Neurospora crassa OR74A: one gene and its partners. The protein of the gene in region 3 purifies or fractionates together with the protein of the main gene of each other region. This does not show direct contact. Links are inferred from orthologs where the notes say so. Each region holds a gene or a part of one and is shown on either strand. Other genes may lie near its edges.

Evidence for each region.
Region 1: the proteins of NCU00040 (region 3) and NCU05270 purify together in Saccharomyces cerevisiae (affinity purification with mass spectrometry; 3 studies listed by BioGRID, with this or other methods). This does not show direct contact. The link is inferred for Neurospora crassa OR74A from reciprocal best matches to the Saccharomyces cerevisiae genes RPG1 and FUN12.
Region 2: the proteins of NCU00040 (region 3) and ckb-2 purify together in Saccharomyces cerevisiae (affinity purification with mass spectrometry; 3 studies listed by BioGRID). This does not show direct contact. The link is inferred for Neurospora crassa OR74A from reciprocal best matches to the Saccharomyces cerevisiae genes RPG1 and CKB2.
Region 4: the proteins of NCU00040 (region 3) and NCU03061 purify together in Saccharomyces cerevisiae (affinity purification with mass spectrometry; 3 studies listed by BioGRID, with this or other methods). This does not show direct contact. The link is inferred for Neurospora crassa OR74A from reciprocal best matches to the Saccharomyces cerevisiae genes RPG1 and RLI1.
Region 5: the proteins of NCU00040 (region 3) and NCU08046 purify together in Saccharomyces cerevisiae (affinity purification with mass spectrometry; 13 studies listed by BioGRID, with this or other methods). This does not show direct contact. The link is inferred for Neurospora crassa OR74A from reciprocal best matches to the Saccharomyces cerevisiae genes RPG1 and TIF35.
Region 6: the proteins of NCU00040 (region 3) and NCU04640 purify together in Saccharomyces cerevisiae (affinity purification with mass spectrometry, with the first as the bait; 3 studies listed by BioGRID). This does not show direct contact. The link is inferred for Neurospora crassa OR74A from reciprocal best matches to the Saccharomyces cerevisiae genes RPG1 and SUI3.
Region 7: the proteins of NCU00040 (region 3) and NCU08277 purify together in Saccharomyces cerevisiae (affinity purification with mass spectrometry, with the first as the bait; 4 studies listed by BioGRID). This does not show direct contact. The link is inferred for Neurospora crassa OR74A from reciprocal best matches to the Saccharomyces cerevisiae genes RPG1 and SUI2.

The regions. Positions count from the first base shown.
Region 1 is NC_026504.1:5,514,275-5,518,474, forward strand, and holds the start of NCU05270 (mitochondrial translation initiation factor IF-2), read left to right. Parts: upstream 1-1,400; 5' UTR 1,401-1,688; coding exon 1,689-2,201; intron 2,202-2,296; coding exon 2,297-2,812; intron 2,813-2,886; coding exon 2,887-4,200. Other genes in the region: NCU05271 (hypothetical protein), read left to right, coding at 1-536. UniProt on the Saccharomyces cerevisiae protein: Plays a role in translation initiation. Translational GTPase that catalyzes the joining of the 40S and 60S subunits to form the 80S initiation complex with the initiator methionine-tRNA in the P-site base paired to the start codon.
Region 2 is NC_026501.1:3,448,591-3,452,577, forward strand, and holds ckb-2 (casein kinase II subunit beta-2), read left to right. Parts: upstream 1-1,349; 5' UTR 1,350-1,723; coding exon 1,724-1,780; intron 1,781-1,863; coding exon 1,864-2,109; intron 2,110-2,191; coding exon 2,192-2,746; 3' UTR 2,747-3,487; downstream 3,488-3,987. Other genes in the region: NCU11228 (DUF1339 domain-containing protein), read left to right, coding at 1-672; NCU02755 (PAP2 domain-containing protein), read right to left, coding at 3,818-3,987. UniProt on the Saccharomyces cerevisiae protein: Regulatory subunit of casein kinase II/CK2.
Region 3 is NC_026503.1:2,375,198-2,379,273, forward strand, and holds the start of NCU00040 (eukaryotic translation initiation factor 3 110 kDa subunit), read right to left. Parts: upstream 2,801-4,076; 5' UTR 2,325-2,800; coding exon 2,322-2,324; intron 2,090-2,321; coding exon 1-2,089.
Region 4 is NC_026501.1:4,385,435-4,389,541, forward strand, and holds the start of NCU03061 (translation initiation factor RLI1), read left to right. Parts: upstream 1-1,307; 5' UTR 1,308-1,591; coding exon 1,592-1,611; intron 1,612-1,747; coding exon 1,748-1,841; intron 1,842-1,909; coding exon 1,910-1,915; intron 1,916-1,987; coding exon 1,988-2,327; intron 2,328-2,379; coding exon 2,380-2,541; intron 2,542-2,606; coding exon 2,607-3,464; intron 3,465-3,517; coding exon 3,518-3,828; intron 3,829-3,905; coding exon 3,906-3,938; 3' UTR 3,939-4,107. UniProt on the Saccharomyces cerevisiae protein: Component of the multifactor complex (MFC) involved in translation initiation. Required for the binding of MFC to the 40S ribosome. Required for the processing and nuclear export of the 60S and 40S ribosomal subunits.
Region 5 is NC_026504.1:4,018,414-4,022,501, reverse strand, and holds NCU08046 (eukaryotic translation initiation factor 3), read left to right. Parts: upstream 1-1,433; 5' UTR 1,434-1,503; coding exon 1,504-1,529; intron 1,530-1,585; coding exon 1,586-1,840; intron 1,841-1,996; coding exon 1,997-2,645; intron 2,646-2,849; coding exon 2,850-3,074; 3' UTR 3,075-3,588; downstream 3,589-4,088. Other genes in the region: NCU08047 (hypothetical protein), read left to right, coding at 1-556. UniProt on the Saccharomyces cerevisiae protein: RNA-binding component of the eukaryotic translation initiation factor 3 (eIF-3) complex, which is involved in protein synthesis of a specialized repertoire of mRNAs and, together with other initiation factors, stimulates binding of mRNA and methionyl-tRNAi to the 40S ribosome.
Region 6 is NC_026505.1:1,363,958-1,367,923, reverse strand, and holds NCU04640 (eukaryotic translation initiation factor 2 beta subunit), read left to right. Parts: upstream 1-1,166; 5' UTR 1,167-1,532; coding exon 1,533-1,544; exon of another isoform or gene 1,545-2,017; coding exon 2,018-2,159; intron 2,160-2,210; coding exon 2,211-2,861; intron 2,862-2,971; coding exon 2,972-3,038; intron 3,039-3,093; coding exon 3,094-3,193; 3' UTR 3,194-3,840; downstream 3,841-3,966. Other genes in the region: NCU16952 (hypothetical protein), read right to left, coding at 1-100, 201-441. UniProt on the Saccharomyces cerevisiae protein: Component of the eIF2 complex that functions in the early steps of protein synthesis by forming a ternary complex with GTP and initiator tRNA.
Region 7 is NC_026504.1:2,569,593-2,573,219, reverse strand, and holds NCU08277 (eukaryotic translation initiation factor 2 alpha subunit), read left to right. Parts: upstream 1-1,152; 5' UTR 1,153-1,589; coding exon 1,590-1,667; intron 1,668-1,736; coding exon 1,737-2,107; intron 2,108-2,186; coding exon 2,187-2,423; intron 2,424-2,489; coding exon 2,490-2,736; 3' UTR 2,737-3,127; downstream 3,128-3,627. Other genes in the region: NCU08276 (hypothetical protein), read right to left, coding at 19-341; NCU16791 (mitochondrial inner membrane protease subunit 2), read left to right, coding at 3,286-3,542. UniProt on the Saccharomyces cerevisiae protein: eIF-2 functions in the early steps of protein synthesis by forming a ternary complex with GTP and initiator tRNA. This complex binds to a 40S ribosomal subunit, followed by mRNA binding to form a 43S pre-initiation complex.

The DNA of each region.
Region 1 (4,200 bases), on a different chromosome or scaffold from region 3:
GAACCCATAACTGGGCTGAGTTCAGGGTGCTCTTCGAGGGGACGCTTCCTGTCAGTATCAGGAAGTTCCGGCGCGGCAGGACACGGCCAACGTGGGAGCAAGGAGCCTGGAACGCACCCAAGTACGGCCGGCTCATTAGCACACCGAACGATGCCGAGATGTTGGGAATAGCCATGGACGGCACCATGTATCACTTTACGCTGCTTGATCAGCACGCATTGCGTCTGTTGCGATTCATTGTCAACTTGTATAACCTCAGGGGGAAGAGAGACGAGGAAAGGCTGCTGCACGCGGAGCCGAACCTGGGTCCCACTGAGCCGTCGCATGTGGATGGTGATGTGCTGAAGACACTCTTGGATGCGGAAGTCTTGCAAGAGCTGATCAACACGGAGGAGCTGTTGGCGCGGTTCAAGAGCCTGTTGGATAAGTTGGATGGAGGCAAACATACTGCTGAGTGGATGGGCGAGGGCACTGCGGACCAGTATTTTGAACTGGCGTATAACGTGTTGATGTATTATCTTAGGCAAGTTTACTAAGTGCTTGGAATTCTAAGGCGGGGGGGGGGGGGGGGGGGAAGGGCAAGATACACTGGTAATAAACGGACGTGTGATCCAGTGTCGGCCTACAAGCCGTCCTGATGAATGCCTTGGTGGTGTAGCTACAGCATAATAGAAAAGCGAATAAAGAATATCACTAGCAACATCTGGTTAATGAAATACCCATTATGACAAGGTGAGGGAGTTGGCCTGCCCCCTTGGATGGAATATCGCACAAAATACACCAAAGTGGTAGAAAGTAAATACAGAAATTAGCCCAGCAAGTGCCCCACTTGTGCCTTAACAAGCAGGTGCCCCGCATTCTGCACCAACGAGTCGGTCACTGTACTTGTACGCGGGAGTGCAGGAGCTTCCACTTCTTTTTCACCACTGCACTGTACTGTACTGTATTTGTCTTGACTGCTGTCTCCAACAGTCTGTGCAGTGTCAAGTCAAGGGCTTGGTCAAAGCGACACCTCCTGGCTCCGGCACAAGTAAAAAAAAAAGTTTGGAGTGGCGATCCTTGTCTGGATTTTTCTGCTGAATCGAGACTCCTTTGACTTTGCGACTTCGACTACTTGGGATTGAGTTAGAGAACGGGACATGATTGCCGTTTTTTGACCGTAGACGGAGACAATACCAAACACTTTATACGGGTTGAAAGAAAGCGCATAGGCAGACGGTGTAAGTACAGGTACTGAGATAGGTACGTACCTGACCTCTATATAGTGTAGCAACAAACCAGAGCGGGATTCGATACAAAGAACAACGAAAGAAAAAAAAAAGATCCACGGTGCCAAGTACCTACAGTACCATCGATCCACTCTGCAGCACCACCACCGAAAAGTGATACAAGTGACAAGCCCTATCCCGTCGACAAGGGGGGACCTACAGCACCAAAAAAAGTACGCCGCCTGCCTTCTTTAGCAGCCAGCCATATCGCATATAACGGCCCAGTAGCCCCAGTCGGCCGCCCCACGAACCCACCACCAGAACCACCTAGCGAGCAACGAGGTCTTCACCCGGACTTCGACTTTCGTCACAAGGAGAGAAGGAGAGCCCATCAGGATCCTCTCCCCCGCCCATCCTACCGACGACATCCCCGCCTCAAGGTATTCCCCGGTCGACTACCAACAGTCCAGTTAGCCCAACATGGCGCCCAAGAAGAAGGGAAACAAGAAGGCCAACGATGACTGGGAGGCCGAGCTGGGCGAGTCCATCGCCCCCGTCAACAACAACGGCGCCGATGCTGCTGCCGCCTCTCCCGCTGCCGCCGACGACGAGGCCGCTTCCGGTGGTGGCGGTCTGATGGAGAGAATGCGCAAGGCCAAGGAGAAGCGCAAGAAGAAGGGTCTTGCCGACGACTGGGAGGCTGAGCTGGGCGAAGACGCTCCCGGCGCCGAGAAGCCCGCTGCCGCCGAGCCCGTCCCCGATCTGTCGGCCAAGGTCGCCGAGGAGGCCAACCTCGACGACGAGTTCGCTCTCCCCGAGAAGAAGGGCAAGGGTGGCAAGGGCAAGCAGCAGCAGCAGCAACAGAAGGCTGCTCCCGCCGCCGCCGCCAAGAAGGACGAGGATGCTGCCGATGAGGATGGCCCTAGGGTGTTGACCAAGGCCGAGAAGGAGAAGCTCAAGAAGGAGCGTGAGAAGCAGCGCAAGAAGGAGCAGGTGAGTACCCAGTCATTATCACTATTACCCACTAATGACTATACATACATCAGACACAAACGGAAGACTAACAACAACTTCTTTTCACTAAACAGGCTGCTGCTAAGAAGAAGGGCACCACACCCGCCGCCGCCGCCAAGGCCGAGCCCGCAAAGGAGGAGAAGAAGGCCGAAACCCCCAGCCCCGTCTCGACCCCCGCTTCCACTCCCGCCCCCGAAGCCGCCGCCGGTGGCAAGAAGAAGAAGCTCCCCGCCCACCTGCTCGCCCTCCAGAAGCAGCAGGAGGAGCTGCGCCGTCGCCAAGAGGAGGAGGCTAGGCTCCTCGCCGAGGAGAAGGCCAGGATAGAGGAGGAGGAGCGCGCCGCTGCCGAGGAGGCCAAGCGCAAGGAGGAGGAGCGCGCCCGCAAGAAGGAGAAGGAGAAGCAGAGGATCGAGCAGCTCAAGAAGGAGGGCAAGTTCATGACCAAGGCCCAGAAGGAGGAGAAGGCCCGCAACGAGAGGAAGCTGCAGCAGATGTTGGCGGCCGGTATCAAGGTCAACGCGCTCGAGGGTGAAGAGTCCAAGAAGAAGCCTGTCTACGACGACAAGAAGAAGAGGGCTGCTAACAAGAAGGTGAGTCTGTCCGGGATTCTTGCTACAATTACGGTATACTATGGACGGCGCTAACCAGTGTCTACTTGCTACAGAAGGACGAGGAAAAGGCTCTCGCCGAGGCCGCTGAGCGCGCAAGACTCGCCGCTGAGGCTCTGGTCAAGGAGCAAGAGGAGAAGGCCCGCATCGAGCGCGAGAAGGCCGAGAAGGAGGCTGCTGCCAAGGCTGAGGCCGCCAAGGCCGCCGCTGAGGACAGCGTCGACGAGGACTGGGAGGCCGCTGTTGCCTCTGACAAGGAGGATGTCAAGGACAGCTGGGACGCCGACTCCGACGAGGAGGAGGAGACCAAGAAGGAAGAGACCAAGAAGGAGGCTTCTAAGCCCGCCGCGGCCAACGGCAAGACTCAGGCCAAGAAGGAGGAGTCCGAGTCCGAGTCCGAGTCTGAGGAGGAATCTGAAGAGGAATCTTCTGAAGACGAGGAGGCTACCGCCAGGGAACTGGAGGAGGCCCGGAGGAAGAAGGAGGCTGCCGAGCGCCGCGAGAAGGCTCACCAGGCCGCTCTGGCTGCCAGGTCTGCGGACAACCTCCGCTCGCCTATTTGCTGTATTCTTGGTCACGTCGATACTGGTAAGACGAAGCTGCTCGACAAGATTCGTCAGACCAACGTCCAGGAGGGTGAAGCCGGTGGTATCACTCAGCAGATTGGTGCCACTTACTTCCCCGTTGAGGCCATCAAGCAGAAGACGCACGTCGTCAACAGGGACGGCAAGTTCGAGTTCAAGGTTCCCGGTCTTCTTATCATCGATACCCCCGGTCACGAGTCTTTCTCCAACTTGCGTTCGCGTGGTTCTTCGCTCTGCAACATCGCCATCTTGGTTGTCGATATCATGCACGGTCTCGAACCCCAGACTCTCGAGTCCATGAGACTGCTCCGTGAGAGGAAGACGCCCTTCATCGTCGCTCTCAACAAGATCGATCGTCTTTACGGCTGGAAGAAGATCGAGAACAACGGCTTCCAGGAGTCGTTGGCCCTCCAGAACAAGGCTGTCCAGAACGAGTTCAAGAACCGTCTCGAGCAGACCAAGCTCGCCTTCGCCGAGCAGGGTTTCAACTCGGAGCTCTTCTACCAGAACAAGTCCATGGCCAAATACGTCTCCTTGGTCCCCACCTCTGCCCACACCGGCGAGGGTATCCCCGACATGTTGAAGCTCATTGTCCAGCTTACCCAGGAGCGCATGGTTGGCTCTCTCATGTACCTCTCCGAGGTCCAGGCTACCGTTCTCGAAGTCAAGGCCATCGAGGGTTTCGGTATGACCATCGATGTCATTCTCACCAACGGTATCCTCAGGGAAGGTGACCGCATTATCCTATGTGGTACAGAAGGCGTCATCAAAACCAATATCAGAGCC
Region 2 (3,987 bases), on a different chromosome or scaffold from region 3:
GAGTACTTTGCGCATGGACTGGAAATACTTCTGCACCATGTCCTGGACGAAGAGGTGGATGCCCATCCTCCGCCTGCTCCAGAACATGCCATCCTCCCACGCGTGCTGTCACTTCTCTCATCGTTCAAGCAGTACTTGGACATTGTGGTGCAGTGTACCCGCAAGACGGAAGTGCGTTCCTGGCGTACTCTGTTCGCCTATCTCCCTCCACCTCAGGAGCTGTTTGAGGAGAGCTTGCAGCGTGGGAGCCTCAAGACTGCTGGCGGCTACTTACTCATCCTCCATACCTTTGACGAACTCGCAACAGCAAGCGAGCAGAGTGTGCGTCTCTTAAGCAGAGCAATGCGCGAGGGCGACTGGGAGCTATGCAAAGAGCTGGCGCGGTTTTTAGCAGCGCTCGATGAAACGGGGGACACGCTGCGTGAAGCAATGGAGCTGGCCAAGATGCGAGTGAAGCAGGAAAGTGAGCTGGAGGATGGCCATGGCAGCGTAGGCAGCGGGCTGGGCACAATGCTTGGAGTTCCTCAGGGTGGTGGTGCTAACGGTGCTTCCAGCACTACCAGCTCATTGATTTCCAATACCAAGGGGATCATAGGTAGTGACTGGGATGCTGACAGGCGCACAATCAGCGACGCCGGCAGCGTTGTCAGTGCTAATCGGTACGAAGGTTAATGAAGTGGATGGAAATTGGAAAGCGGATAGTTGGTTGTAGGATTGTTGGATATCCATAGCCGTGGCGCTCACGATCCTACCAGAACGTCACTTTATGATGAAGCGGGGGTCTTGAGCTCTAGACACATGCTGTAGGGCAACACAGATGTTATAGAAGCCGGGATGTTTCAAGATAATCTAGAACAGCTATAATCACAGGCGACTGGCGTTCTTATCCCCCATTTTTATTTATTTATATATATTTTTTTTGGGTTTTCCGTCTCCAACAATATACCTGCTCAAAAATAAGGCACAAACTGTAGCACTGAACGTCATGACGCCCAATAGAATACCTACCTTAATGACAGAGTACATGCTTCCATCCCCAGTACCTGTGAACGTACAATTAAAGTCATACGCTGGGCCGTTGGGCTGACTGAAGGCCGACGAAAGGTACCCGCCCGCTACCTACCTACCTACCTAGGTAGGTACTTAGGTAGTCAGATGGTCGATTTTGCAGACCTGATAACCTACCTCTGTGTAGTGCCCTGGGTAGGTCGGGACTGCTGATAAACAGACTGCGATGAGCCAGGGGCGGGGGGGCACTGCAACCTGCCCTGCGGGGACCACTGCAACGGCGATGAACCCCCCACCAAAAAAAAAAGTCCCTTGTCATGGACTGTCAGCCTGTTTGGCTCCCGGTCTAGAGTCCAGACCCCCTCGCCTGCCCTGCCGTTGCCCTGCACCAGGGACGGCTTTGAACCCTCTTCCACCTGAACTCCCATCAAACCGTCGCAAAAAAGCATCACAATCCTCTCCAACGTCTTGTCGTCATTGTGCCTTGTGCCAGCTCAATCTCATCCGACTCGGACCTCCCACTCCCCATCTACGGCCCGGCGCGCATTAGTTCGGCCCAACAAAAGGTTCAAACGCCGTACTTGACCCCGGCACCCGGGATTTTGGCCTCGTTGATGCGAAGCGCCAGCCGACGGTCGTTCGCGCCCACTTTCCTCCCACCACCACCTTCCTCCCTTCCTTTTATGCGCCGAGTATAGACGTGGTGTCGCCGGCCATGGATGACTTTGTGAGCGAGTCTGAGAGCGACTATGCCAGCTATTGGCGCGACTGGGTATGCTTCTCTTGCAATTGTTGTTATTGTTTACTACAGTAAAGGTTCCCCAATCATGCTGACATTTGCGCGTCCGCCTGCAGTTTATTTCCTCGCGAGGCAATGAGTACTTTTGCGAAATTGACGAGGACTACATCACTGATAGGTTCAATCTAACTGGTCTCAACACTGAGGTCCAGTACTACCAATATGCTCTCGATCTCATCACCGATGTCTTCGACCTCGACTGCGATGACGACATGCGGGAAACAATAGAGAAGTCTGCTAGGCACCTGTACGGTCTTGTCCATGCTCGATACATTGTCACAACGCGGGGTCTTCAAAAAATGGTCAGTAATCAACTCTCAGCATTCCATCTTCATCCAGCGTCTCCTCGTCTTCATCCGTGACTAACGCACTTCCCACCAACAGTTCGAAAAGTACAAAAAAGCCGACTTTGGCAAGTGCCCGCGCGTCATGTGTTCCTCGCACCCTCTGCTGCCCATGGGTCTCTCGGACGTGCCCAACTCCAAGCCGGTGAAGCTGTACTGCGCGCGTTGCGAGGATATTTACAACCCCAAGTCGTCGCGCCACGCCGCCATTGACGGCGCCTACTTCGGCACCTCGTTCCACAACATCTTCTTTCAGGTATACCCGACCCTGGTGCCCGCCAAGAGCGTCGAGCGCTACATTCCGCGCTGCTACGGCTTCAAGGTGCACGCCGCTGCCGCTCTGGTGCGCTGGCAGAACAGCCAGCGGGACGAGATGCGTAGGCGGCTGAGGAAGCTCGAGGTCGAGAGCGGGTTCAAGGACGCCGAGGACGAGGCTGAGCTTGACGATGATGACGAGGAGGAGGAGGAGGAAGAGGAGGAAGAGGAGGAGCTGGCTGCTATGGATGAGGCTGAAGGTGCCCAACAGCAACATGCGGCGGCGGCGGCAGGTACAGCAACGGGAGGCGTTGCTGCCGGCGGTGAAGGCGTTCATTAGAAAGGGCCTGCTGCTACTGGTGGAGAAGCGGATGAAGAGTATTGGAATTCAGAAGCCACGATTGGAGCCGCCGACGAAGCTGACGATGAAGCTGAGCTACCAAACGAGCCAAACGAGCCGAACCATTGGTTGACACCTCTCATGTCTGCTGCTGCAAGGCTGCGACGGAGTCTCAGGCTAGGGGAGGACTATGAAGAGCAGGCTGAAGTGGAGTTCGATGAGTGGATGGAACAGGCGAGGTACGGGATCTTTTGACTTTTGAGGTGGTGGAATGCATATACCATACAGTATCGAGTAACAAAGTATGAGTACAGGTGCCTCTCTTCTCTTTGTTTTTTTGTTTCTATTCCCGCACCCCATAAGCCTCTACACAGCGGACGTCGGGATCGATGCGAATAAGGGAGAGAGAGCCATTGATAGAGTGTTTATGTTCTTTGGTCTAGCTATACGTCTTTTCGGTTCTTACCAGACGATTTCTTCTCACCTTGCCGGCTTTGCTTCTCTTCGTCTGTGCTGAACTGCACCCTTCTCTGTTTCAAGCCTCCTAAAAACCAATCGTCAAATCGACGGGAAGTTGAACTTAACGCTTGAAAGGCAGTCTCTTGGAGCGTGAAAATTCAAAACGACCAGACCATATATCCAAGCGTCTACTGAGGAAAGATTCACAAGCGGTGTCATGCGGCAACACGAACCTTTCAAATACATGAACTGTTACCACAGCATAAACACGTTGATTAATGCCGAAGACCAGTGTGCTCAAACTTCCCTTGAAGAGTTACCAGGTAGATATGTGTACATATGGATAGGTTCCTCATTTCCCTATCTCAAAACGCCTCCTGAACATAAGAGAGACTGTACCAAAACCCATGTTGGTGACATAAAACCATTTGTTGTTCCTCATATTTCCTCGTTTAGAGAAATAATCGCTTTTGTCATCAAGCCCACCCATCCGGGCCAAGTCCCTACTTCCGGAAAATGCACCTTGACTCTTCTGATCCGACAATGCGTCGAAATTTGCCTTTCATATCTGATCGTCATTTACCCGTCTCTGTAAGCTGTGTCAACCTGTTCTCATTGATCAACGTCAAGCGACGGTGGTTTCCTCCCCGTGATGATCCCACCGGGCTGGTCCGGTCCCACATTGCTTTCCAAACCGGTGCCATTGGCCCGTACCACGGGGTGCCCATAGCTGCTGCCGTGATCTAAAGAATCCGGACTCAGCGCCTCCTCCTCGTCTCCCG
Region 3 (4,076 bases):
TCATGCGGATCTTGTTGCTGTCAAGGGTCTCGATGTCCTCACCCTGAAGTTCCTCAAGCTTCATATCCTTGAGGAGGGCTTCAACTTCCTTCCTCTTGATTTGCTCGCGCTCGTTGGCAAGACGCTTCGCCTCGCGGAGCTTCTGTTCCTCGGCAAGACGGGCGGCCTCAGCCTGTTGGAGGGCCTGCTCCTGGAGCAGCTTCTTGCGAGCGTTCTCCTTCTCCTTCTGGGCCTGAGCCTCAGAAGCCTTATCCTTGCGCGTCTGGATGATCTCCTTGCGAGCAAGGACCTCCTGGTGCTCCTTCTCGGCTCCAGCCTTAGCACGAGCAAGGGCCTCATCACGAGCCTTGATGCGAGCCTCGTTGAAGCTAGGATCGATATAGCGGCAGGTGGTGTAAAGAGCCTCAGCGAGGCGAGTGAGCTGAGAGCGCACAATCTGGGAGGGAGTGCTCTGGAGACGCTGTACAGAGCCAGTCTCGCTCTCGGCAGAGCCGGCAGAGGAACCGGCGTGGACAGCCTTGGCGGAAGAGAAGACATCAGCATCGAAGCTAAGAACGCCAGTGGCGTGGTCCATGCGGATGGCGAGATCGCCCTTCTTGTTGCCGTTCATAATGAACTTCTCAATGGTGCCGCGAGTGACCTGGAAAGGCTCGGGGAATTGAGCCAAGCTCTCGACGAACTCAAGGTCGACAGTCTCATACACCTGCGAAAGCTGCTGGAACAGGCGGGTGAGAATGACCTGCTGAAGAGGAAGGATGTACTTCTGCATCTCGGCATCGGCGCCAATCTCCGCGAGAATGGGGGAAATCTTCTGGCAAATGGAAAGAGGATGGAAGTCGACCTCGAGGATGTTGTAAAGATCGCGAATCTGGGGCTGGGCGCGGCGGAGAAGCGACTTGGAAAGGGCATCGCGGAAGAGTCCAGCACGGGTAGGAGCCTGGGCCATGCCGAGCAGGTGGGTCAAACGAGAGTTCTTGTTCTTGCGGGCCTCATCGAAGTCCACCATGGCACCGCGAGAGCGCGAGGTGCTGATGACGGGAATGGAGAGGGCGGAGAGAATGACAAAGGTGGCAGCCCTCTGGAGGTCAGCATCGCTGCAAGCCGGGTTATCAGCCTTCTTGCTGTGGCCAGAAGCAATGAGAGCAGCAGACTGGCGCAAGAGGTTGTAGTAACGAGCCCAAGCAGCGGCGTGGAAGAGGTAGTTCTCGCCGACAAGGAAGATACGGGTGAGCTTCTCGTAGTAGTTGGCCATCATGACGTTCTTGGCGGGGCGCTTGCTGAGGCTGAGGAGGGTGTGGATATCCTCAACACTGCGGAAAGCCTCCTGCCAGAGCTCGAGCTCAACGGCGACGTTGAGCTGCTGGAAACGGGTCTCAAGGTGACGCTGAAGAGTATCGGGGTCGTTCAGGTTGATGGCGTGCATCTGGGCCGAGTACTTGGCGGCGGTCTGGACATGGTTGCGGAGAAGCTCGCAGAGGCGGCGGAACTCGGTCTTGCGGGTGTACTTGAGGCAGAAGTCGAAAGCCTGCATAGCGGTGCTCTGATAGAGAACCTCGAGGCGGGCATTGTTCCTGAGAATGTCAAGAACAGTGCGGTAAGCCTCCCAAAGGAACTTCAGCCAAGGAGTGACGATAGCGCGGTCGGTGCGGTCGCGAGACTGCTCACCGGAAACGGTAGCGAGCAGGATGGACTCGGGGGTCTCGCTGGCCTCGAGATCGTCGATGTTGGAGGTGGTGGCCTCGATGCTGGACTGGACCTCGTCGGCCTTGGCCTGGGCAGCAGTGACCTTCTCGGCGGCGAGCTCGATGAACTTCTTGAGAACCAACTCGATGGTGGCGACGTTGGTGTTCTGGGCGATGTTCTTGTACTGGTAGAGGGCGTCCTTGGCGAGCTTGCCCTTCTTCTGCTCGACGGAGAGCTCGACGAGTAGGAGCATGACGGGCTCCAGGGAGGCGATGGGGACATTGCGGGAGCGCTTCGAGGTGATGTGCTCGTGGAGCAGGGTCAGGGCGGCGGGGGCCTGGTTGACCCCGATGAGCTCGTGGGCGCGCTTGAGAACATTCTCAGGCTTTTGGTGAGGTGGGGGAGGCTGTTGATGATCAGTAATGGTCACCACGGGTCACAACACACGACGACACTTGGTGGTGAGCGGGACAGGCGGGGAGCGGGGGTGGTCGAGGGTTGAAGGGGGGGGTGGAGGGCAGGGTGGGCGGTGATGAGGTTAGGTGACGATGGAGTTGGCTTTCCAGTCAAAGGAGGGGCAGAAGATTATATGAACTCGAAGCCATAACCATAAGGCTATGGCTGTATTCCCAACTCACCATGATGGGCAACTCCTCGGCACTTGGCTAATCTGGAGGAGATATGGATAAAGTGGTGATAGGGGACGCGGCGCGCAAAGCAGCACGTAGAAATGCTGGAGACTTTGGCTGAGGCTGCGCTGTCCAGGACGATTTTTTCGCCTCGTGGAGAAGTTCAGTTCGTTGCCAGCCAAAAAAGCCCTGGCCAAGGCTAGAGGCTCGATTTTGCTGAGGAGCACTTTGTGGGCTGGGATGATGCGGGACAGTCACGTGATGCAGCTTATCGAGCACGTCGCTGCGACAACAACTCAGAGGCGTGAAGTGCAAGTTGTTGTGCGAATGGATGTTTGGTCACTTCTGTAGCAATGGGGATTGACTGAGATGCAATTATTTTCTTGATCTTAACCGTGATCTGCTGTGAGGCTATTGTGCACAATGGTAAAAAGGTTGGATTGTCGCAAAGGGCAAGTGGGATGTTCTGCCATCTTGGCGTCTGGTGCTGTCCAGTCTGGTGTACACTAGAAAGGAGCTCCATGGTGTGTGTGCACAGCGGCTTTTGTTCTTTCTTTGTGCCCGAGTTCCCAGCCCGCTGGCGACGGGCGTTCTTCTCTGCCGGGCCACGGACCCCCGCCTTGACCGATGACGGACCGTCGGCGGTCTTGCCAAGCTTTCTCACGGCTGTCATCGACGAAATTGCACTTTGAGGCTTAGTTGGAACTTGGAACAGAATCGTGGTGCGAACTTCGGTCGAGTATTGAGAAGATAATCCCCAGTAAGAACATATATCCTCCTAAAAGGCATATGATATCGCTGCTTGAACTGCTAGAGTGGCTGCAAACTCTTCTCCTGTAGCTGAATGCACACCAGCAACTGCATAGGACTTCACGGTCTGTGATTACTGTAGTGTACATACATACATACATACATACATGCAGAAACAGGAGGCTCTCCTCTGTACCCTCGTCGTCCCACCCAGAGCGTTCAAGCTCGCGTCCATCATCGGTCGGAGCAAGTGGGCACCCACCCAATGGCGCCATTCCCAATCCCGTCCGGAGATGCCTGCTGAGCCGGGGTGGTTCCGCTAGACCATCAAAGGGGGGACGATAAAGTGGGGGCGGAACCCGTCGTGTTCTGACTGCCCTGCATTTGCCATTCTTGCTGCAGCTTTCATGCACAGCAGCACCGACAGATCCAAAAAAGGTCCCGTCGGTTGGTCGGACTAGTCCTGTCCCTGCCTATCCAGCGGCGGTGGCAGCAGTCCATCTTCAACGGCCTCCATCGTGCTTTTCTTTTCCTAGATCTTGACCTCCAGTCCCGCTTCCAGAAGCTTGCAACAATGTCAATCACAATGGCACGGATGGGGCAGGACAATAGGGAGGCCGGCACCTCATCCTGAATGCGGAGCTCGTGGTGATACTTGCTATCTTGTCTTGATACTAACTCGTCTGCACCCATTCCGTCTACGGTCGTAGTTAGTGTCGAGTTAATCTAACCAAACCCTGCTAAGCGACCCCCTGGTCCGTCTCATTTGCACTTGGCCCTTTTTTTCCTCGTCGCCCTGGGTTGCTTTGGCTGCCCAGAAGAGGAGTGCAGCACCGAAAGCGACCAGCATTGCAGCAGTGCAAGTGCAGGTAAAAGCGCAGCACTGCAGCAGGCCAAGCAGGGGGAGACTGGGGCGTCCATGCCTGCTGGGGAATTGCACGGACTGCACCCGCCTACCGAACCGTTCCCTGCTGCGCTGCTACTGGTTCTACAGGCTGCGCACTGACCCCCGTC
Region 4 (4,107 bases), on a different chromosome or scaffold from region 3:
GGCCACCAGCCTTCCTTGACTGCCAACATTGACCTCTGTCGGCAACTATCTTCAACGTCTTGATGCCGATGTCATTTCTGCCTCGACAACATGTGGAATAGACTGCTATCAGAGTAGATTGGTTGTGAGTCACTGCCCGGCCGGGGCGCAGGAAACATATGTCGACAGGCAGCCAGAGCTCTGTTCGGAAGTCCGGTTTGATGTCAGTAACCCTGCGCCTCTCTGCATCGTGATCGTTGACGGCATCCGTGATGCTGCGAGTGATTTCCTTAAACGATACGGTTGTGGGAGGAGTCCGAGCGCTTCTAGTTGTCAACCCTAACTAGGTAACTATGCACATCCTCCTACCGAGCGTCATGATCAAGCTTGATGTCGTCGGCCATACAAGTACTCCCCTCCAAACAAACAATACGCTGCCATTGACGCATTATCTTTAGCCGAGGGAGTACTAGATATTAACGCTCACTTGTGAAGGATGGGTCGGATCTGTTCATCCACGGAGGAAACTATCATCACCTGGACAGAGAAAGTGGCAATATCAATGAAACTGTCTAGTCATCATCATCCGCATTATAGTCGTCCATTGGAAGCGATGACCATGTATTCGGGAAAATAGGCGATGTAAGGCTGTGTTCAGCAGATCTCGGATCTGTTTTGGCTGATAATGAGCACAAACTGACTTCAGCAAGACATTAAGTACACGCCCATGATTAACCAACTCTCCACGATGCCACTTGGGTCACTGTAAGAATCTTTGGGCAGAAGTTGTCCTGAAATGAAGGGGAGATCAATGGGAAGCGGAAACAGAACAAAGGACAGAGGAACAATAGTAAAAGTGGAACCCAATGTGGACGACCACTTGCGTGAACATCAGCTAGATACTTGGTGCAACCGCAATGATAGGATAGTAGAAGCTCCTGTCATGTTATGGAATTCTGAGACAGAAATCATGGGGTGGACTGAGAGTTCAGCCCGACTGGGGAGATGGAATTTAGGTACCTACTACTTATATGGAGGGTCGTTACATACCTACAAAAAGTGCACACGGGGCACCTAAGGCAAGCAATGACAGCGAAACAGGAACAGTGGGCTTTCACCTGGCATTAGATACCAAGGTAAAGTTGGTACCTTTAAGAGGTAACCTATCAACCGTGGCACATTTCAGCTTACACCTCTTTTGTAGCTCCAACCCTGCTACCATGTTGGTACATAGCGTTGCGGGGCTAGAGGTACCTAAGTAGGAAGCCCGACGACCTACCTTACTTCACATCAGGGCAAGCGGGGTCTTTTTTTTTTACGATCCGCCCTGCCACCAGACTCGGCGCACGGTGCAGCGGTCTCGACATTTTTTGAGACGAGGGAACTGACATTGTCCACAACCCAGGCGTCGACCCACGTTGCCTCTGGAGAAACTTAAGAGTGTCAGCCTCCTCCGCCTTGTTTGGCCCTCTCCACTCTGCTCGTAGTATTCCGAGACGTGCGGCATCTTGAGAATTTCTCCCCCTCCCCCATTTCCCGCTTTGCGCCTAGGATAGCGGTCCGCCCACAGTCACCCATCTCGATCAGTCCGCAGAGCGAAATCACAGACAAGATGTCGGACAAACTCACTCGGTGCGTTTACGATCCCAAGGCCGCACGCGTGTGTGCTCTGCTTGTAGAAGCATCGGCCGATACTGGCTTGTGCTGGTCTGGCTGTATGCGCTGTCTGGCTTCCACCTTGCTGACCTCGCCTGTTTCGTATCTGTAGTATCGCTATCGTTAGTAGCGACAAGTGCAAGCCCAAGAAGTGTCGCCAGGAATGCAAGAAGTCATGCCCTGTTGTGCGCTCCGGTAAACTCTGTGTAAGCTTCCCTCTTCTCCATAGTCCTCGTGCGGTAACAAGACCAAACAGCTAACTGCTCTCTAACAGATCGAGGTAAGATCTCTCCGGACCCCTTGCGATCCCCGTGTTTTGCGCGACAACACCCTCCTGACATCCGATATCTAGGTGTCTCCCGAGTCGCGCATCGCCTTCATCTCCGAACAGCTGTGCATTGGTTGTGGTATCTGCCCCAAGCGCTGCCCCTTCGGCGCCATCACCATTATCAACCTGCCCACCAACCTCGAGAGCCAGATCACCCATCGCTATGCCGCCAACAGCTTCAAGCTCCACCGTCTTCCCATGCCCCGTCCCGGCAACGTCTTGGGTCTTGTCGGAACGAACGGTATCGGCAAGAGTACCGCGCTCAAGATTCTCTCCGGAAAGCTTAAGCCCAACCTGGGCAGGTACGACAACCCGCCTGACTGGGAGGACGTCATCAAGTACTTCCGCGGTTCTGAGTTGCAGAGTAAGGAATACGGCTCACCTTGGAAGGAGATCAGAGGATTGACAAATCGCAGACTACTTCACCAAGCTGCTCGAGGATGACCTGAAGGCTGTTGTCAAGCCCCAGTACGTCGACCAGATCCCCAAGGCCATCCGCACCCCCGACAAGAGCGTCAAGTTCCTGATTGAGGGCCGCCGCTCTCTCGATAACCTTGACGAGGTTCTCGACACCCTTGGTAGGTTCCACATGCTTTGCGCTTTGTGATTTGCTTATTTGGACGCCCTGGCTGATCTTGAATAGAGTTGCGCCACATCTACGACCGTGATGTTACCCTCCTTTCCGGTGGTGAGCTCCAGCGTTTCGCCATCGGTACCGTTTGCGTTCAGAAGGCCGATGTCTACATGTTCGACGAGCCTTCCTCGTATCTCGATGTCAAGCAAAGATTGAGTGCCGCCCGCATCATTCGCTCTCTCCTCCGGCCCGACGACTACGTCATTGTCGTCGAGCACGATTTGTCTGTCCTCGACTACCTCTCCGATTACGTCTGCTGTCTTTACGGTCAGCCCGCCGTATACGGTGTCGTCACCCTCCCTCACTCCGTCCGTGAAGGCATCAACATTTTCCTCGATGGTCACATCCCTACTGAGAACTTGCGTTTCCGTGACGAGAGCTTGACCTTCCGCATTGCCGAAGGCACTGAGGAGTTCATCCAGGAAAAGTCGCGCGCCTTCAAGTACCCTGCCATGGAGAAGACCATGGGCAACTTCCACCTGTCCATCGACGCCGGTTCTTTCTCTGATTCCGAGATTATCGTCATGATGGGTGAGAACGGTACTGGAAAGACCACCTTCTGCCGTCTTTTGGCCGGTGTTCTTAAGCCTGACGGCACCAAGAGGGTTCCCGAGATGAAGATCTCCATGAAGCCCCAGACCATCACTCCCAAGTTCGAGGGTACCGTTCGCCAGCTGTTCTTCAAGAAGATCAAGGCTGCTTTCTTGTCTCCTCAGTTCCAGACTGACGTCGTCAAGCCTCTGAAGCTTGATGATTTCATTGACCAGGAAGTCAAGCATCTGTCCGGTGGTGAACTGCAAAGAGTTGCCATTGTTCTTGCTCTCGGTATTCCTGCTGATATCTACCTCATCGATGAGCCTTCTGCCTGTACGTGAACCTCTTTCCCACCCCCTTAAGATGCATTTCTAACCGTCTTCCAGATCTCGACTCCGAGCAACGTATCATTGCCTCCCGTGTTATCAAGCGTTTCATTATGCACGCCAAGAAGACTGCCTTCATCGTCGAGCACGATTTCATCATGGCCACTTACCTTGCCGACCGTGTTATTGTCTTTGATGGCAAGCCTGGTATCGACGCTCACGCCAACAAGCCCGAGTCTTTGCTTACTGGCTGCAACACCTTTTTGAAGAACCTTGATGTCACTTTCCGCCGTGATCCTACCAACTATCGCCCTCGCATCAACAAGCTGAACTCTCAGCTTGACCAGGAGCAGAAGCTCAGTGGCAACTACGTAAGTTTTGTTTCTGTTTCAATTTGGAAAAGTTCTCCCATCCTGCGACCTCATACTAACATTGCTTTCCCCTATAGTTCTTCTTGGACGATCCCGAGAAGAGCAGTTAAAGACGGTGTCTCCAATGATGTTCTTCCCAAGAATAATAAGACTAGCGGCAGAGGCAACAATACTAAACGCCCCCGTCGTTGTTATGATGATGCATCGGATTCCGGCGTTCTAGGCGTCCAAAAAGAAAATGGCAGTTCCTCCATTCATTGCGGCGCCGGGGATGGTAGC
Region 5 (4,088 bases), on a different chromosome or scaffold from region 3:
AGCTGATGAGACAGCACCGGAACCGGAGTCCCTTTTCTCGTCTTGGGGATTGCCGGACGCAACCAAGCAACGTTGTGACAGCGGCGAGGACTGGGAGAATCTCTCTCCCACACAACCTGTCACACATGGTAGCCCTGAAAAGAGGTCAGGCTATGCTCCTCCATCATCAGTGGCTTTCCAAGACATGCTCAGATCCACTCCGTCCGTCGGCGATTACCCAGGTAGCCCATCGAAGCGCGCCGATAGAAGATTTAGTCTGCAGTCTCAGCTGTCAGAAAGGTCAAGCGAACCTGATCGCAGTTTCCTTGATCTGAGTGACCTCGGTGACGATCTCGGCGACCTTCCCCAGATATCTTCAACTTCACTTTCGAAGCAGGGCTCGAGACCCGCGCCCCATTTTAGGTCTTTGTCGGTTGCCAACGGCGGCTTGGGTTCGCGACGGAATAAGACACAGCTGGCGGAAGGTCCCCCACCTGCTCCCCCGCCGAATCGTGCCCTTCCTCCAATCCCGAGAAAATCGTCACTTCAAGTCTGTCACTCAGCATATTCACCTTGAGCTGTGATTTGCATTTACTCGTATCTGGCGCCATACCATCATTCAACGCATCGCCATTTCTGGACGTCTAGGAAGCACGACCACTGAAGTTTCCGAGTATCTGTCAGCGACAATACTTGCAGAGCAAAGGGCGCCTGGGGATTCAACTGATAGAGATAAACCGCCATCGAACCGCTGATTGACTCCGTCACCATTTCCTTTGTCTCTCTTTTTTCAAGGTCGGGTTCAGTCGAAAAACAAGATACCGGTTAGATGGATGGAATAAGGATGCAGGAAGCAAGATACTGGATACCCAGGTGATGAGGGTACATTTATACCACCGGCGACATCCGGAACGTAACGTGTGAACGATCTCCTTTGTCAGGTCGATTTGGTGCGGGATTTGTCTTTTTTTGCCATATACCTTGTATTATGTAATGTTGGGGTACCTACTGTGTATGTAGGTGATTAATTGAGGAGGTGAGTGTGGTGGGCATGAAGGGCGGGGTGGTTTTCGATTCTCAATCGGAGGAGGGGGGTCACAGAGTCAGAAGAAAGCTGGTGCCCGGCAGGCTCCGTGGCCAACTTAGATAGCAGTGAGTTTAGAGCATCAGATATGGATGCTTGGAGAAATCTGAATCGAGTTCAAACTCTCAAACTTTAACCTCGGTGCCAGCCATCAACTTGCAAACAAAGGTACCTACTATGTACAACACGTCCTGGTGTCGAGAGAGTTGAGCTAGCTCCATGTTGCGGCGCCGCGCCCTGCCCCTGGTAGGCCTGGAGGAGCAACGTTCGGGTTAGGGTTGTGATGCCTGTGATGCCCCCACTAATGGATGCGAAGTGGAAGCAACCCAAAGCGGATAATGAAAGAAGGGGCAAAACACCTCAACGTATACGTCTGGATGCGACCAGTCCTGCTTTGTCAAAGAACGAAGCTTCGTTTGTAGGGAGCCGTATTGGCTGTCATGTGCGAATCTGCTGCCTTGATATTGTACGTAGGATAGAGCACCGTTAGCTGCCAAACAGGGCTGATTTCCTGAGTGAAAGCCGAGTCAGCAAGACAATTTTTGCCCCACACTCAAATATCCAAAAATTCCCACCTCCAAAAAATGGGGGGGAAAACTGCCCTGGCTTTTCAAACTTGAGCCCCACCAAAAATCGCCGCCAAACCAGCGCAACGTCAACCCATCGCGACGACAACCCACGGCCATTTCAGTCATCCACCGCACCCATCACCAGACGAGCCGAACCTGCGGAATCAAAACAACCACATACTGTCAAGATGGCTGCCGTTCAACAGAAGTCAGTACTCCTCCGCTTGCCTCGACAGCAAACGCCCGTCTGCATCCACGCCCCCGATTCCCCCGATTGCCATTTTTCCGGCGTGCTTCACAACCCAACACGTATGCATTTGATTTCTCGGAGAGTAAGAGTCTAACATAGTTCGCGACCATTCAGGCACGACTGGGCCGACGATGACGAGCTCGAGGAGACCTCCACCGAACTCCCGCCCCCTCAGAAGATCACCAACAAGGATGGCAGCACGACCATCATCGAGTACCGCCTGAACGACAACGGCCAGAAGGTCAAGACCACACGACGCATCCGCTACATCACCCACCGTGAGGTCGTCAACCCCCGCGTCGCTGAGCGCAAGTCGTGGACCAAGTTCGGCCTTAGCGTCAAGGACGGCGCCGGCCCGGCCCCCGACACCACCTCGGTCGGCGAGAACATCATCTTCAAGCCTTCCTTCAACTGGCGCCAGGAAGCCAAGGATGAGAGCAAGGACCCCAACGCCCAGGCCATGAAGGACAAGTTGAAGGACAAGAAGGTCAAGTGCCGTATTTGCAACGGCGAGCATTTCACCGCCCGCTGTCCCTACAAGGACACCATGGCCCCCATCGGCGAGGCCGGCGCTGCCGCCGACGTCGCCGCCAGTGCTGCTGACGAGGCTGCTGCCGCTTCCCAGGGTGCGGCGGGCGCGGGCAAGAAGGGCTCGTACGTGCCACCTGCGCTGCGTGGTGCCGGTGGGGCCGCGGCTGCTGGAGAGAGGATGGGCGGCAAGTACGGCGAGCGCGACGATCTCGCCACTCTCAGAGTTACCAACGTACGTTTGCCCCTAGTGTCCCCCAAAAGGACGCGGAGGAGGAGGAGGAGGAGGAGGTGGTGGTGGTGGTGGAGAAGAAGAAGAAGCAGAAGGAAAAGGGAAAGAGGGAGTAGGCGACAGACTTGCAAAAGCTGCTCTGTTCTGCTCCTAAAGAGGGGTTATTATGACGGGACTGATTCGTGCTAACATGTTTTCTACGCTTAGGTCTCCGAGATGGCCGAGGAACAAGAGCTTCGCGATATGTTCGAGCGGTTCGGTCGCGTCACTCGTGTCTTCCTTGCCAAGGATCGCGATACGGGTCTTGCCAAGGGCTTCGCCTTCATCAGTTTCGCTGATCGCAGCGACGCTGTCAAGGCTTGCGCCAAGATGGACGGTTTCGGTTTCAGACATTTGATCCTTAGGGTTGAGTTCGCGAAGAAGGCTGCGTAAACTTAATGGGTCTTCTAGACGGACGAGGAGGCGGAGGAGAGGGAGGAAGGGGTTAGAGGAATGATGGAAGAAGCAGCGATGTTTTGGTCCCTAATGCGGTCTGCACAAGGAAGTGCGTCATCAAAATGGGAAAGGACTCTTTGATACTACTATTACTTGATCTGGTTCCTGTCTCTTCTTGCTGTGGGGGTTCATACTAATGGGGAACAAGCGGCAAAATTTGTCATGATCGAGAGATTTCTTCCGCCTTTTAAGCATATCGGGCCAGGGTGGCCAGGTGGTTATAGTTGACTTTTGTTACATGGATGACGGGCTAACTCCAGGTTGAACAAGATCGGTGTAATAGACTGGCAACATGCCCGGACTACAGGAGCCCAAAACGCACCGAAGCTCTTCAGAATACAGTGTGGTCTTCTTGTCGATTCAGGGCGCATGCCAGTGTTTAAAACAGCTGACAGCCTCTCTGAACTCTTGAATTATTATCAGTGCATTTATCTATCCCGCTGAACGTCCCTGGCATCAAACATTATATTACTTGGTGACAGAATCTGTTATGATGTCCTATCATCAACTCAACCGACCAATCGCAAAGACCGTAAGTTCCTGAGCTCTCTCAAAGCAGCCGGCACGTCCCTTCATCCTCTTCATCTTCCTGTCTCATTCATCTCATCACCGTAAAAGTCGTTCATCCCTCCGCCCTGCCCTCATAAATCATGAAGTCTTGGAAGATGTCGACAAAGAAAAATGGCTGGTTGCCTATAAGAGAAATAAGAAACAAATATCACTCGAGAATGAAATGAAAAAAAAAAAAAAGGGGGGGGGGGGGGGACATTCGGCGCAAAGAAACCTCAGCAACAACACCATGAACACACAAGAACAATAGCCTCCCGCCCATCATAACCCCTACACCTTCTCATCCCTAGACCTTCTTGCCTTTCCCCTCCTCCTCCTCCTTCGGTCATGATCACTCTCTCCATCAGTATCATTCCCTTCCTGCCTTTCCTTCTCCTCCTC
Region 6 (3,966 bases), on a different chromosome or scaffold from region 3:
ACTGGCGTAGCAGCTCCTATCCAACCGGCAATGTTGAATAGCGTCTTGTTATACCATTGGACCTTGACCCCGTGCGCCCACTCCATGTACCGTCCCCAACCTGCCGGGCCATGTTAGCAACTGACTTTCCGCATCGTCGTTATTGTCTCCTCCCACAGCGCAAGCTGTCTTTCCCAAGATCTGGTTTTGGTTTGTCTTACTCCAATAAGCAAACTTGCGCCCCAAAAACTTGCCCGCGAACGGTATTAGCACCAAGTTCAAGAGAAGCTGCAGCTGCTCGAGACTCTGTTCCCATTCCTTTTGTGCGTCTGATTCGTCGTCGTACTCGGAGTCGTCCGAGCCTAGGATACTGCTGGAGATGGACGGGAGGGAGTCGACATCGTCGTTGTCGGTTGACGGGGAGTGGTCGTGGAGGACGTAGGAATCGGAGGGGGTGGACATGGTTTTGGATGTCCCGAATGCGCAATTTGTCTGTCTGAGGGTATCGCGTCTCTGGCCGGGAGTAGGTAGCTATCGTCAGTGTGGTTTGGATGAGGCGAGCAAGTGGTCGGCGCCGGCGCACGGTCGGTTGTCGCGGTGAAGATGGTACTGTAAGTAGCTATCGTAGCTCGGGCAAATTGCGATAGTTCGGGATGGAGACACTGTACGAATCGGCGTAACGCCTGACGTGTAGGATATTGTAGAAATCGCGTGGGACGAACTTGATTGCTGCTGGGAGATTCGTTGTCGGTTACGAACACAGCGATACACGGAGATGGATACCTCTACGGACTCGGCGCGCCTTCCAAGGTTCGTGATGGAGCTGGTTGTTGTCGGTGACCGATGACGGGCCACGGCACCAACTGCTGCAGCAGTGCAGCTATGCGATGCTGGAATGGACACCACTCACCTATCGCTGCCGCCAAGCACTGCACCGGACTGCAAGTGCCAGTGCCAACCCAACCGTGTCGGACTGTGCGGCCGTGGCTCGAGCGGGTTGAAGGCACCGTGCTGCAGGGAGGAGGGCTGCATGGCCTGGAAAATGGAGAAGCGGAGGCGATTTGTAGTTGCAAGTGGCGGGCAGCTGTCTGAGCTCTTCCCACCCCACTTGTCAGGTGATTGAGAAGACTGACTCACAGTTTCGCTTCAATCAACGTCATGAGGTGAACACAGCTGAGGCGTGGTGCCGGTGCCCCATCCAGAGCCGTGTGTACAGAAAGAACTCCGCTCAGTCTCCAGCCCAACGACAGAACTAAACGACAGTAGTAGTAGGTAACCAGACCAGGACCCAAGCGGCATCCAACTACCTAGGTCCCCGCAAAGAACAATTCCAGGTCCGAAACTGAAAGAAAGCTGAGATCAGTCTGCCTGCATCGATACCTCTCCCGACCCCAAAGTCTACCTAATCTCATCCATCGACAAAATCCACTCTCTGCGACCAACAAAGAGTCCACCGGAAGAGACATCGATTACAAAGAAAAAGACGGACAATCACACACCTACAGACAGACAGACAGACACCACCACACTCTCAAACACACCAGTGGCCCAGCATGGATTCTGAAGTAAGTACCTGGGATGGATCTCCTTGCTTCAGTACACACTCACTACCTCTACGCCCACACAACACACCCTCCGTCCTCCCCGACCCTACCACCACGCTAGAGGCAGACACCTCGAGCCCTGGGGGGAGCCACGCTTCTCGCCTAGTCAAAAATACTAAGGAAATAAAAAGTCCCATTCACCACACTGCACACCCCTCACTGTACTTTGCTACCTACGCAGTGCAATTATACCTATCCCCGGCCCCAGCCCTCAAGTCCCCTGACGTGTACTGCCCCTCCAAGGCGCCAACCCTCTCCCTCCACCCCCAGCCCAAAATCCACCATAAAGTTCTGGCACTCTGCAGCGCGAAAACGCCGCCAATCATCCCAAAAAATTCCGAGCTTTCCTATCCACACTCGACGGCGAAATCCTTGACCGCTATCGCGACTCCCACGACAAGCGCCTTATCCACTCCGATATACTAACCCTTTAGGCGCCCTCTATCAAAAGACGCCCCTCGCGCAAGTCTGTCACCTTTACCGACGAGAAGCTAGTTGTCAACCCCGACGGTTCTGTCACCATGGACGCCTCTCCCGCCGACGAAATCAAGGAGACTGCCCAGTCCCACTCTGCTCGTACGCCGCCCCTCCACGCCGCTCTCGGGGCCTTTACTGATGCCCCCCAAGCCACCGAGCCCCAGGATGCTGCTGCTGCTGCCGCCCCCGCCGCCGATGATGGCCTCGACCTTTCGCTCATGAAGAAGAAGAAGAAGAAGGTCAAGAAGGAGGACGATGCCGACGCCGCTGCTGATGAGGCCGCCCCTGCCGAGGGTGACGGTGCTATCGACCTCACCATGAAGAAAAAGAAGAAGAAGAAGGTCGTCAAGGAGGATGATGAGTTCGCCAAGAAGCTGGAGGCTCTCAACATTGAGGGCAAGGAGGGCGAGGAGGCCGCCCCCCAGGAGGACGAGCAGGAGGGCGATATGGACCAGGGCACCGGCATTTGGGCCCACGACGAGACCAAGCCCATCAGCTACAACGCTCTTCTGTCCCGTTTCTTCGCCCTTCTCTCGCAAAAGAACCCCGACCACGCCTCTACCGGTACACGGTCGTACAAGATCCCGCCCCCGCAGTGTCTCCGTGAAGGCAACAAGAAGACCATCTTCGCCAACCTGCCCGAGATTTGCAAGCGCATGAAGAGAGCCGACGAGCACGTTACTTCTTACCTTTTCGCCGAATTGGGTACCAGCGGTTCCGTCGACGGCAGCAGGCGTCTGGTCATCAAGGGTCGTTTCCAGCAGAAGCAGATCGAGAACGTTCTGCGTACCTACATTATCGGTATGTCTATTTGATCCTGTCGTCGTTTGGACGTTTTGCGCCCAAGTAGACAATGTCACCACCAGCACCCAACGTTTTGCTCTGACTACAAATGCTAACATGCTCAACAGAGTACGTTACCTGCAAGACGTGCCGTTCCCCCAACACCGAGCTCTCCAAGGGCGAGAACCGTCTTTAGTAAGTTGGCCTCTGTTTACGACGACCATAGCCCCAAAATGCTGACATGTCACAGTTTCATTACCTGCAACTCTTGCGGTTCTAGGCGGTCTGTCCAGGCCATTAAGACCGGTTTCTCTGCCCAGGTCGGCAAGAGAAAGAAGATGCAGGGTTAAGCGGTTTTTGTTTTCTTGTTTCGAGGCCCTTGCAGTTTGCTTTTCAATGTTTTCACGCTTCAAGGACGGAGTTAAGACGGCATTGTATATGGCTGGTTGGGCACGGGTCTTTTACGAAGTAGCACGGCCCCTCTGAACGGCAATCTCTCATCTCCAGTACACGAGAGAGAGGATGGAAGAGAGAGTCTGTGCTACAAAATCAGGTGAATTCCTTACGCGGTAGGGTACGGGTTAATATGACGATACTTGATGAAGAATTGGTACACAAAAAGTTCTGGTTTTTGATGATGGTGGCACACTTATCCTTACTTTGCATAGGGAGTCTGATAAAGAGGAGGGCTTTCTTCTTTTCCTGAGCTTGTCTGATTTATATGGATGAGGGCTGCGAGGTTGTATCTAGACTGATGTGGGATTCAGAGGTTCTCAGGTCATTCATGACCATGGTCAGCAAGCTAGACTGGGAGAGCAAGGAAGAGGCTGACTGAGCGCAGGATTACGAAGCGATGGATTTTGAGATCTTGCGAACAGGAATTATTCTCTGTTCTTTGCAGTATGTATAGCCATTCAGTCTACCTTTATAAACTACATTATGTTATCGAAACTCAAAGTGGCAGTTGAGTAAAATGATAAACCTTGATACTCCGCGATTGGTGAGAAAAAGCGGCCGCTTAGGTTCGAAATCTCACCTTGACGCGTATACATTGCGTATACACTACGTTCCGATGTTTTGGCGATCGATCCATGATATGCCGAGCACATGCATGATAGTTAGC
Region 7 (3,627 bases), on a different chromosome or scaffold from region 3:
GGCTGGCGGATGACTTACAGCGTAGTGGCGTTCATGGTCACCGTCAGACTAGTCGAAAAGATGTTGAACAGAAAGGTGGGTGTAGTGATGGTGGTCAGCTTGATGACAAAGTATAGCACACTCGAGATGCGGTGCAACAGCCAGAGGATGATGGTGAACCATGAAGTCGGGGTGTGTTCGGGAACCACATCGCTAGTAGCTTTCGAGACCGCATCGCTGGCGAGAGCGACGACAGACGAGAGGGCTTCTGTAGGATCGGCGAGGATTGCCGTCGCAGTCGTGGACGTTGTCTCGGAAAGCACCGAGCTCATGGCGTTGCCGAGGTTGCTAAGAGACTCCATTTTCAGAAGCCTGAAGCACCAAGCAAGCAAGCCAAGAGTTACCGGGCGAGCCCGTCGTGTAGATCGGTTCTGACAGAAAGAAGAGAGTGTGTATGTATGTTTTTGTTTTTGTGTTTCCTTTTTTTTATAGGGTTGTAGGTATCGCGGTAGTGTCGCGCCGTCGTCGTGGGGATGGTCGTGAAGAATAGTTGGTGTTCGATCGATCAGCGTGTCTGAACCCCAAAAGTACCGTCGCAACCTGATCAAGACCTATGAGCTGTCCCCTCCCCGATGTGCCTGTGGTTGAAACCCAACTCTTACTACCTGGTCTGCGGTGTCGTCGCTCTGTTCTTTTTCATATCGGTCCAAGTGTTGTCACCCAAGACGGAGACCGTCGAGAAAAGCGAAACGGGTGAGCTCCTCCAAAAGTAACGACATGTGCGGAGGGTTTAGATGAGCCCAGTGTCGTCGGGTGTTGGTCGGCCCTCGGGATTCGTTTGGGTGCCGTGCAAAAGTCGAATCTCCAAGTCGCCGTTGGTGGACAAGCAAGGTTCAGTGATTGAAGCTCCCTAGCTCGACGATGTCCAAGGAAGATTCCAGGCTTATCAGTGACTAACCCCACTGTCGGTTCACGATTGACGTCGTTGTTCCTGCCCACTGAGCTGGCGCTTGGCACAGTGGAGTTCGGGGCAGGTGGAGTAAGTAGAGGTACCTAACCGAGAGCAGGTACCTGCCTTTGCGTACCGTTGTTCCCACCTGGGCTGCTGTGCGCTTCCTTACCTAGGTACCCGACTTACCCCACCTCAAAAAAAAAAGATGGAGCCGCGTCTCACTTGCCGTCACGGTCAGAACGTGAAATTCACCCCTCAATCCGGCGCACCAGCCACAGCCTACTTCGTTCCCTCCCAAAGTGCCCACGCCACTTTTGCAGCCTGTCTGCACGTAATTTTTGGTTGGTACCCGAAAAATACTGCGACGCATCTGGCTAACTTTGAGTGAGTCCTTTGAGCCTCGCTGGACCCTCCGAGAACCCGCTGCCGCAACCAGAACTCGAACTTCCAGAGGACCTTTCCCAGCTGTGGCCACTTGCAGCGAAACTCGGTCAATTTTCTTTCTCGGCCATCAACCCCTCCAGACCATCCACTCGAATTCCATCTCGCCCATTGTCGCGAAGCTCGTCGCCGACATTACCCTCCCCCTTTCAACACCACTAACACCACCACTTATTTCACCGTTTGCCCCGCCCGGGAAAAGGCACCAGTCGCCAACATGTCGCTCTCAAACTGCCGTTTCTATGAGGAGAAGTATCCTGAAATCGACTCGTTCGTTATGGTCAATGTTAAGCAAGTACGATACACTGGGGTCCCGGTGGTGCGCATGCGCATGTGGATGCGTCAGAGCTGACCCCCAGATTAGATTGCCGATATGGGCGCCTACGTCAAGCTTCTCGAGTACGACAACATCGACGGCATGATCCTGCTCTCTGAGCTTTCCAGAAGACGTATTCGTTCCATCCAGAAGTTGATCCGTGTCGGTCGCAACGAGGTCGTCGTCGTTCTCCGTGTCGACAAGGAGAAGGGTTATATCGATTTGTCCAAGCGTCGTGTGTCCCCCGAGGATATCGTTCGTTGCGAGGAGCGTTACAACAAGAGCAAGATCGTCCACTCGATTATGCGCCACGTTGCCGAGAAGACTCTTGTTCCCATCGAGCAGCTTTACGAGACAATAGGATGGCCCCTCAACAAGAAATACGGCCACTCGCTTGATGCCTTCAAGCTTTCGATCACGTACGTCATTCCGGGAAATAGGCGTACAGCTGTGGGACAAAATGGCGGTATTGGACAAGATGCTGACATGGATGTGAAGCAACCCCGACGTCTGGAATGACATCCAGTTCCCCACCGAGGCCGTTGCCGAGGAGCTCAAGACCTACATCAGCAAGCGTTTGACTCCCCAGCCTACCAAGGTCCGTGCCGATGTTGAGGTCACTTGCTTCGGCTACGAGGGTATCGATGCTATCAAGACCGCTCTCCGCACTGCGGAGGCTCGCAACACTGAGGAAACCCAGGTCAAGTGCAGACTTGTGTCCCCTCCCCTTTATGTGTAAGTCTTTGCCAGAAATAGTCTTGCAATGTTGAAGACAGAGTGGAAGCTAATAACTATACACAGCCTTACCAACACCTGCTTGGACAAGAATGCCGGTATTGCCCGCCTTCAGGAGGCCATTCAAGACATGCGGACCAGCATCGAGGCTGCTGGTGGCCACCTTGTGGTGAAGATGGAGCCCAAGGCTGTCACTGAGTCCGATGATGCTGAGCTCCAAGCTCTTATGGAGAAGCGTGAGCGTGAGAACGCTGAGGTCAGCGGCGACGAGAGTGTCAGCGAGTCCGACGACAATATCCCCGAGACCGTCTAAAGCGCCTCTTCATTTTGCAGCCATTCTTAAACGGAGCTATCTTTGCAGGCTCATTGGGATACTCGACACTATTTTGAGGAAAGGTTTAGGGATGCATGTATACAGTTTTTGCGACACAGGGCTGGCGTCTAGGGGATACAAAAGTCCTTCAGGCGGTAGAGGAATCAACCAAAAGATTGCATCAAGCGTATGCCTAATGAATGTGAGCGAGGGACGAGGATTGATGAACACAAGACTTGATATGGATACATAGTCATTTTATGGATGCACTTGCTGTAACTAGGTAGATCTAGGCGTTCAAGGATATGCAGCTACCGGGGCTGATAAGCGATCTCATCGTTTTCTTATCGCCGCCTGCCCGGGCATGTGGCTGCAATTATTGTCTTCTCCATGTTAACACACAAGCTCCGTACTGCTCACTGCCCTGCTCACTGAGCACGTTGAGGCGAACATACGCCCTCTATTTCACAGCAGCATTGCGATTCACAGCAAAGAGTTGCATCGCATTGACATCTTCGGTAGCTCGATAACTCGCTTGGTCGGATAGCGATGGCGGCGCGATGGGGAGCAGGAATTCGGAACGGATTCCTCGGTCAGTTCTCACACTACCTCATTCGCTACGCAACATGGATCCCTCCATTGGTGGTCTTCAACGGCTGGGTTGCCGAGATCACACAAATCAAGGGGCCGTCCATGTATCCTTTCTTCAACCCGCACTACAATGAGTCAACACGTCGGGACATCGTACTGGTCTCTAAGTGGTACCCGGACCGGAACCTCAAGCGCGGCATGATTGTGACCTTTAGGTGAGATCCAAAATCTCATCCTACAGCATCTGGCGTGCCGCATTCGGGGCATTGGTTGGGAACCTGACGACTAACTGTAACCCAG